Linked DNA regions of Sus scrofa. The main gene of each other region encodes a partner of the protein of the gene in region 3 in a complex. Links are inferred from orthologs where the notes say so. Each region holds a gene or a part of one and is shown on either strand. Other genes may lie near its edges. The genes, in order: NSMCE2, NSMCE1 and EID3.

What was found.
Region 1: EID3 (region 3) and NSMCE2 share a complex: the UniProt entries of both Homo sapiens proteins name them as parts of the SMC5-SMC6 complex. The link is inferred for Sus scrofa from reciprocal best matches to the Homo sapiens genes EID3 and NSMCE2.
Region 2: EID3 (region 3) and NSMCE1 share a complex: the UniProt entries of both Homo sapiens proteins name them as parts of the SMC5-SMC6 complex. The link is inferred for Sus scrofa from reciprocal best matches to the Homo sapiens genes EID3 and NSMCE1.

The regions. Positions count from the first base shown.
Region 1 is NC_010446.5:14,591,619-14,595,266, reverse strand, and holds part of NSMCE2 (E3 SUMO-protein ligase NSE2), read left to right. Parts: intron 1-2,245; 5' UTR 2,246-2,259; coding exon 2,260-2,416; intron 2,417-3,648. UniProt on the Homo sapiens protein: E3 SUMO-protein ligase component of the SMC5-SMC6 complex, a complex involved in DNA double-strand break repair by homologous recombination. Is not be required for the stability of the complex.
Region 2 is NC_010445.4:19,608,431-19,612,723, forward strand, and holds the start of NSMCE1 (non-structural maintenance of chromosomes element 1 homolog), read left to right. Parts: upstream 1-1,365; 5' UTR 1,366-1,368; coding exon 1,369-1,468; intron 1,469-1,474; exon of another isoform or gene 1,475-1,671; intron 1,672-1,702; exon of another isoform or gene 1,703-1,939; intron 1,940-2,035; exon of another isoform or gene 2,036-2,060; intron 2,061-4,293. UniProt on the Homo sapiens protein: RING-type zinc finger-containing E3 ubiquitin ligase that assembles with melanoma antigen protein (MAGE) to catalyze the direct transfer of ubiquitin from E2 ubiquitin-conjugating enzyme to a specific substrate.
Region 3 is NC_010447.5:80,220,797-80,224,678, reverse strand, and holds the end of EID3 (EP300-interacting inhibitor of differentiation 3), read left to right. Parts: 5' UTR 1-155; coding exon 156-1,253; 3' UTR 1,254-3,345; downstream 3,346-3,882. UniProt on the Homo sapiens protein: Tissue-specific component of the SMC5-SMC6 complex, a complex involved in repair of DNA double-strand breaks by homologous recombination.

The DNA.
Region 1 (3,648 bases), on a different chromosome or scaffold from region 3:
TTTGGTATTTCAACTGATTCTTAAGATCAGACAAGTTTGACAAAACTATAGGATTTAATTTGTCCTTACAACAATGCTGTGAGATAGATGTGATCAACTCCTTTTCACATGGGTGCAAACCGAAGATAGAGAAGTTAAGTACCTCAGCCACAGCAATTCATTTTTAGGTGATGTGGACAAGATGGAATTTCAAGGCATTTCTGTCCAGGGTCCATTCACTTAAACCCTATTCTGCATTGCTGCTCACAGTATTGTAATGATTAAGTTGATGATAATATTTGCTCTCATTATTTTTTTCTTTTTTCGTCTTTTTAGGGCTGCACCCGAGGCATGTGGAGTTTCCCAGGCCAGGGGGCTAATCTGAGTTGTAACCACCAGCCTACGCCACAGCCACAGCAACATGGGATTCAAGCCGTGTCTGCGACCTACACCACAGCTCATGGCCGGATCCTTAACCCACTGAGCAAGGCCAGGGATCGAAGCTGCAACCTCATGGTTCCTAGTCGGATTCGTTAACCACTGAGCCATGACGGGAACTCCTGTTTTCTCTCATTTTAAAAGATTATGTGCCAGGTGTTATTATGAGCGTTTTGTTTTACATATGAACTTAATCCCTGTGATCTCTGAAGTTGGCCCTGGATCATCCTCATTTTGCAGAGAGAAAAAGTGAAGCATTTGAGAGGTTAAAAAATTTTCCTGAAGTCATTCAGCTACTTAAGTGGCAAAATCAGGCTTTGAACTCATGCAGTTTGGCTCCAGAGGCTCATTTTTAACCCCTACCAGAGTTTTCAGTAGTTAACCTCTACAAGTATTGCCTCCATATTCTACTCCATAATGTAACTAATATTTAATATAAATGTTTCATGCTATTTTTAAATGGAGTTAATATTCTAGGAAGATATGTCTTGATCATACTGTGGCATTATTCCCCCTTCCTTACCCCCTCGTTCGTGTGTGTGTGTCTGTCTGTCTGTCTGTAGTACACTTTGATAAGTGTGTTCCTGGAAGTGTGCTGTCCAGTGCAGTAGCCACTGGGCCTATGTAGCTATTTAAATTTTTTTGATTTTGTCTTATTTTAATACAGTAGAGCATTGACAAGAATAATAGATAACTTATTTGATAAGTTTGGTTTTATAAAATATTTGTTGAACAGAGATGCTCTGAATAGAGGCAAAAAAGTAGGTAAAAACTATTAGTGAAATATTTACATATATCTATTTCAAAAATTCAAATAGAAAATATTCTCCATTTAGAAGTATGAGTTCTGAGCTTACCAGGTTCCCTTGCACCTGTAGTGTTTCACAATTTGAAAAAAAAACATGGTCTTCAGAAAAGTCATTTGAAGGTATTAACAGTTTCAAATTTCTAAGCATGAATTCATGAAATGTCTGTATGGAGGCTAAGAAAATACCTTTTTTCCTGCTGCCATACAGCCTTCCCCCAGTAAATTCTCTCCATTTTTCTGCTTGGTTTCAGTGGACTGAATTTCACATAGTTTCTGAATTAAGCACCGATGTTTTTTGTAGAGAGCTTCATCTAAGTAGTCCAAAGCTTAAAGAGTTGGTGGTTAAACATATAGATTAGGGAGTATTTTAATCTGAAGGTAATAGCTAAAACTATTACTGTGGATGAGCTACCAGAAGATAAGAATACAGGCAAATTTTGTTTTTTTTTTTTTTCTGAAACAGAATCTGGAATCTCACCAAGTCTGTAAATCTGTTAGAACCCAGAGAAACTGTTAGGAGTAAAAGTTTTTTTTTTTTTTTTTTTAAATAGTGTTCGGAATTCAATATGCATGTGTGTCAGATAAGTTAAAAATTACAGATTTTCAAAATCCTCCCTTATTAAGCAATTTTATTGCTATCATTTTCATTTTTTTTTTTTAGGAAAATGCATCATATGAGCAGTCTACTTTTTCTGACCCATTTATGTTTTATGTTTTTATAAGCTGTGCTGTTGTTGAATTTTCAGAAACTTGAGGAAACTTTTGGAAGAGAATATTCTCCCTCCTTTAAAAAATGATGGCAGTTACCTCCCTCACAACAGAAGTGAATCTGTTGTGTTTGGCAGCCAAGATAATGGCACGGTTATTTGATATCCTTTCAAGAGATGTAGAATGTAGACAATGGTATTAGCACCTGTGGGATATTGGATGCATACATATGGATGTTTACAGCAGTTCTGTTTTCCTGTGCAGTTATTATCCTTGTTCATAAATTTCATTTCATTGTGTTTGAACACCTAGGTAATAATTTCAAGATGCCAGGGCGTGCCAGTTCCAGTTCAGGTTCGACTGGTTTCATATCCTTCAGCGGCATAGAATCTGCTCTGTCCTCCTTGAAAAACTTCCAGACCTGCATCAGCTCTGGAATGGACACAGCTTCTAGTGTTGCTTTGGACCTTGTGGAAACTCAGAGTAAGTCATAATTAAAACTTAGTTCATTTGTGTCTACTCCGAGGTCACCCTGTGTGGTGGCATTGCTTTAGGGATGTGAGCTACTGCTCACCTTTTGAGTAACCTTTGGACAGTCATTGAATCCCTCTGGGCATCTGTTTTCTCATCTTGTGCTATGTTCTACATAGTGATGTACTGAGGATGAGATAAGATTAACTCATTTGTATATGTTTAAACCCTTATGTACCACTAGAAAGGACACTAGAGGAGTTCCCGTCGTGGCGCAGTGGTTAACGAATCCGACTAGGAACCATGAGGTTGCGGGTTCGGTCCCTGCCCTTGCTCAGTGGGTTAAGGGTCCGGTGTTGCCGTGAGCTGTGGTGTAGGTCGCAGACGCGGCTCGGATCCCTCGTTGCTGTGGGTCTGGCGTAGGCCGGTGGCTACAGCTCCGATTCGACCCCTAGCCTGGGAACCTCCATATGCCGTGGGAGCGGCCCAAGAAATAGCAAAAAAGACAAAAAAAAAAAAAAAAAAAAAAGGACACTAGAAATTTATGGGCTCAAACATGAAGGTTTCTGACCTCATGGAGCATACAGTCAAAAGTATGTGACATTTATGAACTGTGCCATAGAGAGCATTGCGATTGTTATTTTTTCAGTTATTTAACTGTATTTTGTTCATATTTGCATACTTGATAGACTGAGCTGATGTTGGGGGTACCAGTAAAGGGAGGCCTCTACAAAAAATGAGGAAAGTTCAGTTTTGCTGAACTTGATCAAAATTTTTTGATCAGAGTATCTAGAAAAATGTTATTTGCTTTGTTTGGATTAGAGTTGTTTAGTTTTTTGTTTTTAAAAGGCCTCACCTGCGATATATGAAAGTTCCCAGGCTAGGAGTTCGAATAAGAGCTGCAGCTGCTGGCCTGTGCCGAAGCCATAGCAATGCCGAACGGAGCAGCTTTCAACAACGCTGGATTCTTAACCCACTGAGTGAGGTCAGGTATCATACTTGCATCTTTGCGGACACTCTATCGAGTTCCTGACCCACTGAGACATGAAAGGAACTCCTGTTTTTATGTATGTATGTATGTATTTATTTATTTATTTAGTCTTTTTCTAGGGCCAGTCCTGTGGCACATGGAGGCTCCCAGGCTAGGGGTCTAATTGGAGCTGTAGCTGTGGCCTATGCCAGAGCTCACGGTATGCCGGATCCCAGACCCACTGAGCAAGGCCAGGGATCAAACCCGAAACCTC
Region 2 (4,293 bases), on a different chromosome or scaffold from region 3:
GAACCAGGTTTCAAATCCAGACGGTCTAGTTATGGAATTCAAGCTTTTAGCCACCACTCTGCTTCTTACCCCCCTCAGCAGGTGAGGTCCAGAGAGGTTGAGATATTGTCCAAGATCACAGGAATGGTAACCAGCCAAGTAAGGACTTAAAGCTATCATCACAGAGATTGATACTTGTACTTTCTACTGGTCTATAATAAGTCACCCGTTACCTGTGGCCCCTGCTAGTCTGTTCAGCCAGCTCTCAGACTAGGGACTGGAATACAAACGTCGTAAAGTGTCCTGGAGACTCCGAACAGTTCGCTCACGTCTGTTAATTGCATTTACTTCTCACAACAAACCTTATGTAAGAAAGCAGTAAACATTTAATCAGTACTTCCATGTGTGTTTAAAAGACTTCAAAACAGGAGTTCCCATCCTGGCGCTGTGGAAACGAATCTGACTAGGAACCATGAGGTTGCAGGTTCGATCCCTGGCCTCGCTCAGTGGCTTAAAGATCCCCCGCTGTGGTGTAGGTTGCAGACGCCGCTTGGATATGCCGTTGCTGTGGCTCTGGCATAGGCCGGCAGACAGGTCCGATTAGACCGCTAGCCTGGGACTCTCCATATGCCGCGGGTGCGGCCCTAAAAAGACCAAAAAAAAAAAAAAAAAAAAAAAGAAAAAGAAAAAAAGACAAAACAACCTTCGAAATACATTATTTCATAGGGACTATTATTATTTCGCTTTTTAGTCCCCGCCCCGCCCCGCCCCGCCCCCGCATCATAGCAGAGCTGTAACCGCTGGTCTATGCCATAGCCACACTAACCCGGGATCTGAGCTGCATCTGCCACCTACACCACAGCTCATGCAACCGGGATCCTTAACCCACTGAGCAAGGGCAGGGATGGAACCTGTGTCCTCATGGATACTAGTCAGATTCAGGTCTGCTGAGCTACAGGGGATTCCCCCATAGGGACTATTATTGTTATTCCAACTGAGCAAGGGCAGGGATCGAACCTGCAACTTCACGGTTCCTAGTCGGATTCGTCAACCACTGCGCCACGACGGGAACTCCCAGAAGCCTCGTTCTTGATGGTGAAGTGGCTCTGTCAGTTCTATAAATGGAGAAACTGAGGCACTAAGCTGTGCCCACGGAATCGGTCACACTAAGGCTCCATTCTTGGTCTTCCTCTTTTCACCGCGTGGGGGGTAGCTGCCGGGCAGGAGGCGGAGGACGAAAAGCGGAAGCCCTTTCCAGTAAGGTGCAGGGCGTGACCCGCGTGGGATGCGCTTACCCCTGCCCTAACTGGCGGATTCCCCGGCACCATGGCAACGGGAGAACAGGAAGTGCGTCACCTGATGGGAGGAGCGAATCTGCAAGAACCACCAATGGTAGTGCCCCGACTGCTTTCGCCCCGCCCCGAAGGAGGGGCCGAGCCCACCTTTTTGCTAACGCCGCCGGCAGTGTGGGCTGCGCTTGGGCGCCGCGGTGGGTAATCGGGCCGCGGGGGCGCGAGGCTGACGGGGAAGGAAGAGAGTTGTCCGGGAAGGCGAGGGGCGGGCGGCAGGTGGGGGTCAGGCCCCGGGGGTCGGCCCGATGCTGTGTCGCAGTGTGGCCTCGGGGGCCGGGGGGCCGCGGTTTCTCATTTCCTGATGGGGAAACTGAGGCCCTGAGAGGGGCTGCAGAGGCAGGTAAACCGGAACCTAGTCCCTCACCCACAGACATTTTAAAATCGTAATATTAGGTAATTTACATCCTAATATTAGCTGAGAAAGCATTAGAATTCTCTCTAAACTGAATACGTAAAATACGGCTTTCGTTGACTACCCTGTCAGGCTCACCGACTCTGGGCTTCTCTTTTTGGGGTCCACAACTTCTTTGTACAAGTCCACAGCCCCTTATTTTAAAGCTCCGAGGCTAGATGTGTTCACAATCCCGAATTTCTAGGATTCTCGAAAGGTAATTTGGGGCATATATTATATGTCCTGTCCTATCTTCCTTGGGGTCTCCGGCAGCGTCTTGTCATCAGATACATTACTTTTTTTTCACAGCTGAATAGATGCATATTCCCAGTAAGAAGGTAAACAACAAGCATGAATAGTCTCACCTGAAGCCAGATGGGGTTTTCAAACTTAAAGGATTTGTTTTTGAGAACTTTTTAGATTTAAGCGTTGCACGTAAAACCTGGAATCATAATTTTGTTGATCCACTCATATTTTGCCCTTGTTTGTACTGGGGGTGTGGCAGTTTCTAACCATGCTTTTGTATGGTCACTCCCTGTCTCCATCACTAACTCTGTGTGGCCTTGTGCCCTCTCAGCCTCTGTTTCCTCATCTGAAAAATGGGGTCAGTAATGCTTTCCTCATAAGGTTCTGGGGAGGATTAAATAGGACTGTGCACAGGAAGCATGCACATATATATCTCGCTCTTGGCACAGATGGTTCTATTTGAGGTTTGCTTGTTCTGCAGACATTCTATTTTTAAATGATTTGGGTACCTAGGAGTTCCCCTGGTGGCTCAGCAGGTTAAGAACCAGACCAGCGAAGATGCAGGTTCAATTCCTGGCCTTGCTCAGTGGTTTAAGGATCCAGCATTGTGTAGGTCGTAGGTACGGCGCGGACCCAGTGTGGCTGTGGCTGTGGTGTAGGCCTCAGCTGCAGCTCTGATTCGACCCCTACCTGGGAATGTCCATATGCCACGAGTGTGGCTGTAAAAAAAATGAATAAAATAATAATTTGGGTAGGTAATACATGCTCATGGCTAGCCCATCTCCCCTTCATAGAGACAACTGGTTTCTATGCATAAACAAGTCTATAGATTATCTTTCCACTTAATTTTCCCACCCCTTCCCCCCAAATTATAGCATTCTTTACCTCCGTCCTCTTAGTAAAATTTATTTTGGCTGTTACTTAACGTATTTTACATCATTTTCTTCTTTTTACAATTAGGATAAGTAATATGCCCATAGAAATGTGTGATGTAAATTTAAAGAACAAAACTACAGTGAATACCCGTCCACCCACCACCCAGTTAAGAAATAGGACATTTCATATCCTCAAAGCCTCCACTGAAATAGAACTTTTAAGAAATAGAACAGTATTGTATCCTCAAAGCCACCATTGGATCCTTTTCTCCCCTCCCCAAAAGATAACCACTGCCCTGAATATCATGTTATCCTTCCTTTATTTTTCTATGTAATTTTTAGTATCTGTGTCTCTCGCGTGAATGCAGGGCACAGTCTTGCTCATTGGGAGATTGGAGTTTATGTAAATGGGTTCTTTTGGGGGCGGGGGGTGGTGGTGGGCACTCACAGCAGGTGGAAGTTCCCAGGCCCCAGGATCCATGTAAATGGGACCTGAATATATTTTGTGTGACTTGATTTTCGCACATGATGTTATGTTTCTGAGATGCATCCATGTTCCTGTGAGTAGCTCTGCATCGTTTTTTTGTTTTTTTTGTTTTTTTTTTTCCACCATATTATAAATGCCTTATGTAGGTGATTTTCCATTGATTGACACTCGTACTGTTGCCTGATCTTTGTTACTACATTGCGCTTCGTAAACATACTTCTTGGGGTAAATGCGGGTGTTTCCGTGAAGTATGTACCTAACAGTGGATTTCTGGGGAGATGCAGATGTGCTAGGAATGTCCAATGGATGTCTGAAGGGGTTCTAAGACTTACTATTCGACCAGCAGTTGATGAACGTCTCAGCCTTGTCCTTCTTAAGAAGCTGTGCCTGTTTGGTGATGGGCGTGGCGACACTGAGAATCTCTTTCTGTGTTTCTTAGTCCTTCGTTCATTCTCTTGGTGACATTTCTCTTACTCCTTTTCCTCGTGCAGTTGTCTTCCCCTTACCGATTTGTGAGAGTTCTTGGTATAATCTGAATATGGATCAGATTATGTGGATCGTGGCTTCACTGTGTTTCACATACCTTCCAGGTTGGGCTTGGCTTCTCTGTCTCTTTGTCTGTCGCCTCCCCTTGCTGTGTGTTTGGTGAGCAGCAGTTCTTCATTTTAACAGTTGGGTTTATCATTGTGTCGTTTTATGGTTTGCACTTTTCATATCCTTTAAAGAAGTCCTTCCCCACCTGTGGGTCATAAAGATATACTCCGGTGTTGTCTGGGAAGTTTTATAGTGTCTCCTTTCTTATGACTTTTTATCCTTAAGAATTGATCTGTGTGCATCATATGACCTAAGGGTCTAGTTTTATTTTGATTTTTCTTTCACGTGTGGGTAATGGGTTGTTCTGGCACCTTTCATTGAAAAGTGTGCTTTGAACTGGAGTTCCGTTTCTCTAATATATCAAATATC
Region 3 (3,882 bases):
GGGCTGTTGGGAGGCGGGGCGACCTGGGGGCGGGGCCTCTGGGCCGTCCCTAGCGCGCATGGGCGGACGTCCTCCTCCGCTCTGTCTGACCCCTTCGATTTTCCGCCGTTGTCCTAAACGTTGCCGGGGCGTCATCTGAGCCATCAGTTCCCGAAATGTCTGATGAAAGAGATTCCCTGAGGTGGGGGGACAGAGAGAAAGGAGAGGAGCCGGTTGTGACCGTCACCCGCAGTGCGTACTCTGGCAGGCAGGCGCAGGAGGAGGAGGGGGAGGCAGGGGCTGATGCCTTCTCTGACGACCTCAGCCTTGGGGAGGCCGACATTGACCCAAGCCTCCTGGAGCTTGTGGACGAGGAGAAATGCCGGAGTATCCGCAAGCAGTACCGGCAGCTCATCTATAACGTCCAGCAGAACCGTGATGACATAGTGAACACGGCGAGCGACTCCTTAACCGAGGCTCTCGAGGAAGCCAATGTCCTGTTTGATGCAGTGAGTCGAACAAGAGAAGCCGCGCTTGATGCGCAGTTTCTTGTTTTGGCTTCTGATTTGGGTAAAGAAAAAGCAAAGCAGCTAAACTCTGATATGAGCTTTTTTAATCAAGTAGCATTTTGTGACTTTCTGTTTATATTTGTGGGTCTAAACTGGATGGAAGATGATGGACGTGATGTATTGAATGACTGTGATGATAATATAGCTTTTTCCTTCTGGGAGACAGTGCAAAAGGAAGCAACATCGTGGATATTGCAAGCTGAAACATTCCACTTTATTTTTGGTTCATTCAAATCAGAGCCTTCTTCTCGAAAGCCCCGACTTGAAAACCGGAAAAAAGTTCACAAGATGGAAGAAAATGGGGACATGCCTACAAAGCTGAGGAAGCTGGACCTGAGTAGTAATCAAGAAGCGACAGAAAAAGAAGTAGAAAGAATCTTGGGATTGTTGCAAACATACTTTAGAAAGTATCCTGATACTCCCGTGTCCTATTTTGAGTTTGTGATTGATCCAAATTCTTTTTCTCGTACTGTGGAGAATATATTTTATGTTTCTTTCATTATAAGGGATGGTTTTGCAAGAATAAGGCTTGACCAAGACAGGCTGCCAATATTAGAGCCAATTAATATGAACCAAGTGGGTGAGGGAAATGATCCCAGTTCCCATGGCAGGAAACAAGGGGTTATATCTTTGAGTTTACAGGACTGGAAAAATATTGTGGCAACTTTTGAAATTTCAGAGGCTATGATCACAAACTCATACTGAAGATAACTTGCTCTTAGAATGTATTTTGTGGCTTTTCTAAAGCATATCAAAACGGCTAATAAAATCCAAACAAAACACACATTGTATCTCTTGTAAAGTGAAAAAGTATTATCAATAACATCAGAAGTTGTGTACTGTGCAATGTGTTTTTCTTGGTATTTATAGAATTGTCATGATTTTCTGCTAACTAAAGAAATTCACTAGCATGTTTGTGGAAACTTTTTTTTTTTTTTTTGACTGTTCCTTAAGACCTTATTAAGAGAAGTTCTGAATTTTTTAAATTAAAAGGTGTTTGACAATTGCAAAAACTTAGTTATGAGGCTCTGTGATACTGCATTGCTTCCTCTGCTACAGGGAATCAAGGGAATTCCATATAGGCTCTTAACCAGGTTGAGGGAAAGAGTGGGTGAAAAAAAATGGTCTGGAAAGACTATCTGTAGGGCAGTGCATAAATACTGTAAAAAAATTCAGATGCCGTGCCTCATTGCAAAGAGGACTCAGCAAATTAGCAGGGATATCCAGATTCTAAAGAATTTCTCCTGTGATTGGACTCAGCGGAAGTAGAATATCTCTACTATAGTAGGTGAGGCATTAACTAAGTGCTGAGAGATGAGTAGAAATTGGTCAAAGATAGGAAAAGTATTCTAGCAGGGAAATATGGAGGCCAAATACATGGAATTGTAAGATGTTACGGTATCAGAAAGATTTATAAGCTTTTTCTGAACACTGTTCCATTTGAATGTTATATTGGGCAAAAATTGATTTACTTCATTCATCTGTTAATATCCTCAGAGGTTGAAGATCTCTGTCAGATTATTTCACACGCAAACTATTTTAACATCCATTTACAATCTCTATCTACTTAAATTCTTCTCTGGCTTCTCATTTTTCCCTTGTAATTTATGTTAGTACACAGTGATTCTGCTAGTATCTCAGAATCAGTGATGTTTCATTATGTTGCAGCCTTGAAATGTTTGTTACCATTTCAACTTTGTATTTCTCAATAGGGCTTTAAATGCCTGGAAATTGTCCTTGTTTAAATTTAAATATATGACTAATTTATCCAAATATTCTTCACTTCTTATAAAGTCAAAAGGCTTTATGTTGTTGCTTATAATTATTTTAAGAATATAAATTGCATTGTTATTTGGAGGCTACTGTTAGAAATTTGGGTCTTTAAGAAAACAATTTTTGAGTTCCCGTCGTGGCTCATCAGTTAGCGAAGCCGACTAGAATCCATGGGTTCGATTCCTGACCTCGCTCAGTGAGTTAAGGATCCGGTGTTGCCGTGAGCTGTGGTGTAGGTCGCAGAAGTGGCTCAGATCTGATGTGGCTGTGGCTGGCATAGGCTGGTAGCTACAGTTTCGATTGGACCCTAGCCTGAGAACCTCCATATGCCATGGGTGCAGCCCTAAAAGACAAAAAAAAAGACCAAAAAAAAAAAAAAAAAGCAATTTTTGAAGGTGCTGTGAGCATGCTTGTAAGCTTTTCTTGATCTCTAGAAACTTAATCTTGGGTCGTAGTGGGTCTTGCCATTAAACCGTATTTAGTAAGTGGGTAAGTATCTGCTTTGTTTAGCAGTAATGATAAACTTTACTGCCACGTCTCATGTAGTAAGGGAAGGGAAATCAAAAGGCTAAATGAATGACATTGAGATTGAGAGGTTCTTTAGTCTTAGTGGAGGGTTTTAGCAAACATAGGAATTTCTCCTGAGACATGGCCTATTATTTTCTAAACTAGTCGTTCCTTTCCCTTTTTTCATGTGAAGGGGTCCTCTCCCTTCCCAGTACCTACCACCCTTTGATCTAGCAGCTGTGGAGGCCTCATTTCGTCTGGCTGATTCTTCCTTTAGTGTGTCTTCCAGCCGCCCCCTTAGGTTTTCCAGAGCTTTGCTGTTTGGGGGAAAGATCTCGACGGGAGCAGAAAGATCTTGCCTCAGGTCTGCTCACCACCGGATGACTCTTTAAACACCAGGTGTCTTGACCAGGAGTGTTTGCGACTTGATGATTGAAAGCACATTGCGTAGCAGAGAACGGGGAGGCTTGTGAAGGAGGGCATCTTTGGGTCTCCTCTAAAGTTACAGCAGAAATAGAATTTTTTTTTTTTTTTTTTTTTTTTTTTTTTTTGCTATTTCTTGGGCCGCTCCCGCGGCATATGGAGGTTCCCAGGCTAGGGGTCGAATTGGAGCTGTAGCCACTGGCCTACACCAGAGCCACAGCAACGCAGGATCCGAGCCGCGTCTGCAACCTACACCACAGCTCATGGCAACGCCGGATCGTTAACCCACTGAGCAAGGGCAGGGACCGAACCCGCAACCTCATGGTTCCTAGTTGGATTCGTTAACCACTGCGCCACGACGGGAACTCCCCAGAAATAGAATTTAAGTTAAACACTTGTTTCTGTTTTTAACTGGTTGTCATGACACCTGGATTGCCTCATCACTTGGAAATTAAGCCACTACTTACCTTGAAGAAAAAAGGAAAATTGACCAATAGATAATTCATTTTTAGAGATTAGGTAAGAACCAAACTCAAGTCTGCTGGTTTCCCAGTAGTACAGTTAGAGTGATTTAAATTTCATAGGTTCAATAAAGTCAGCTGAACTTTGGGAGAATAATACGGAAAAAAAT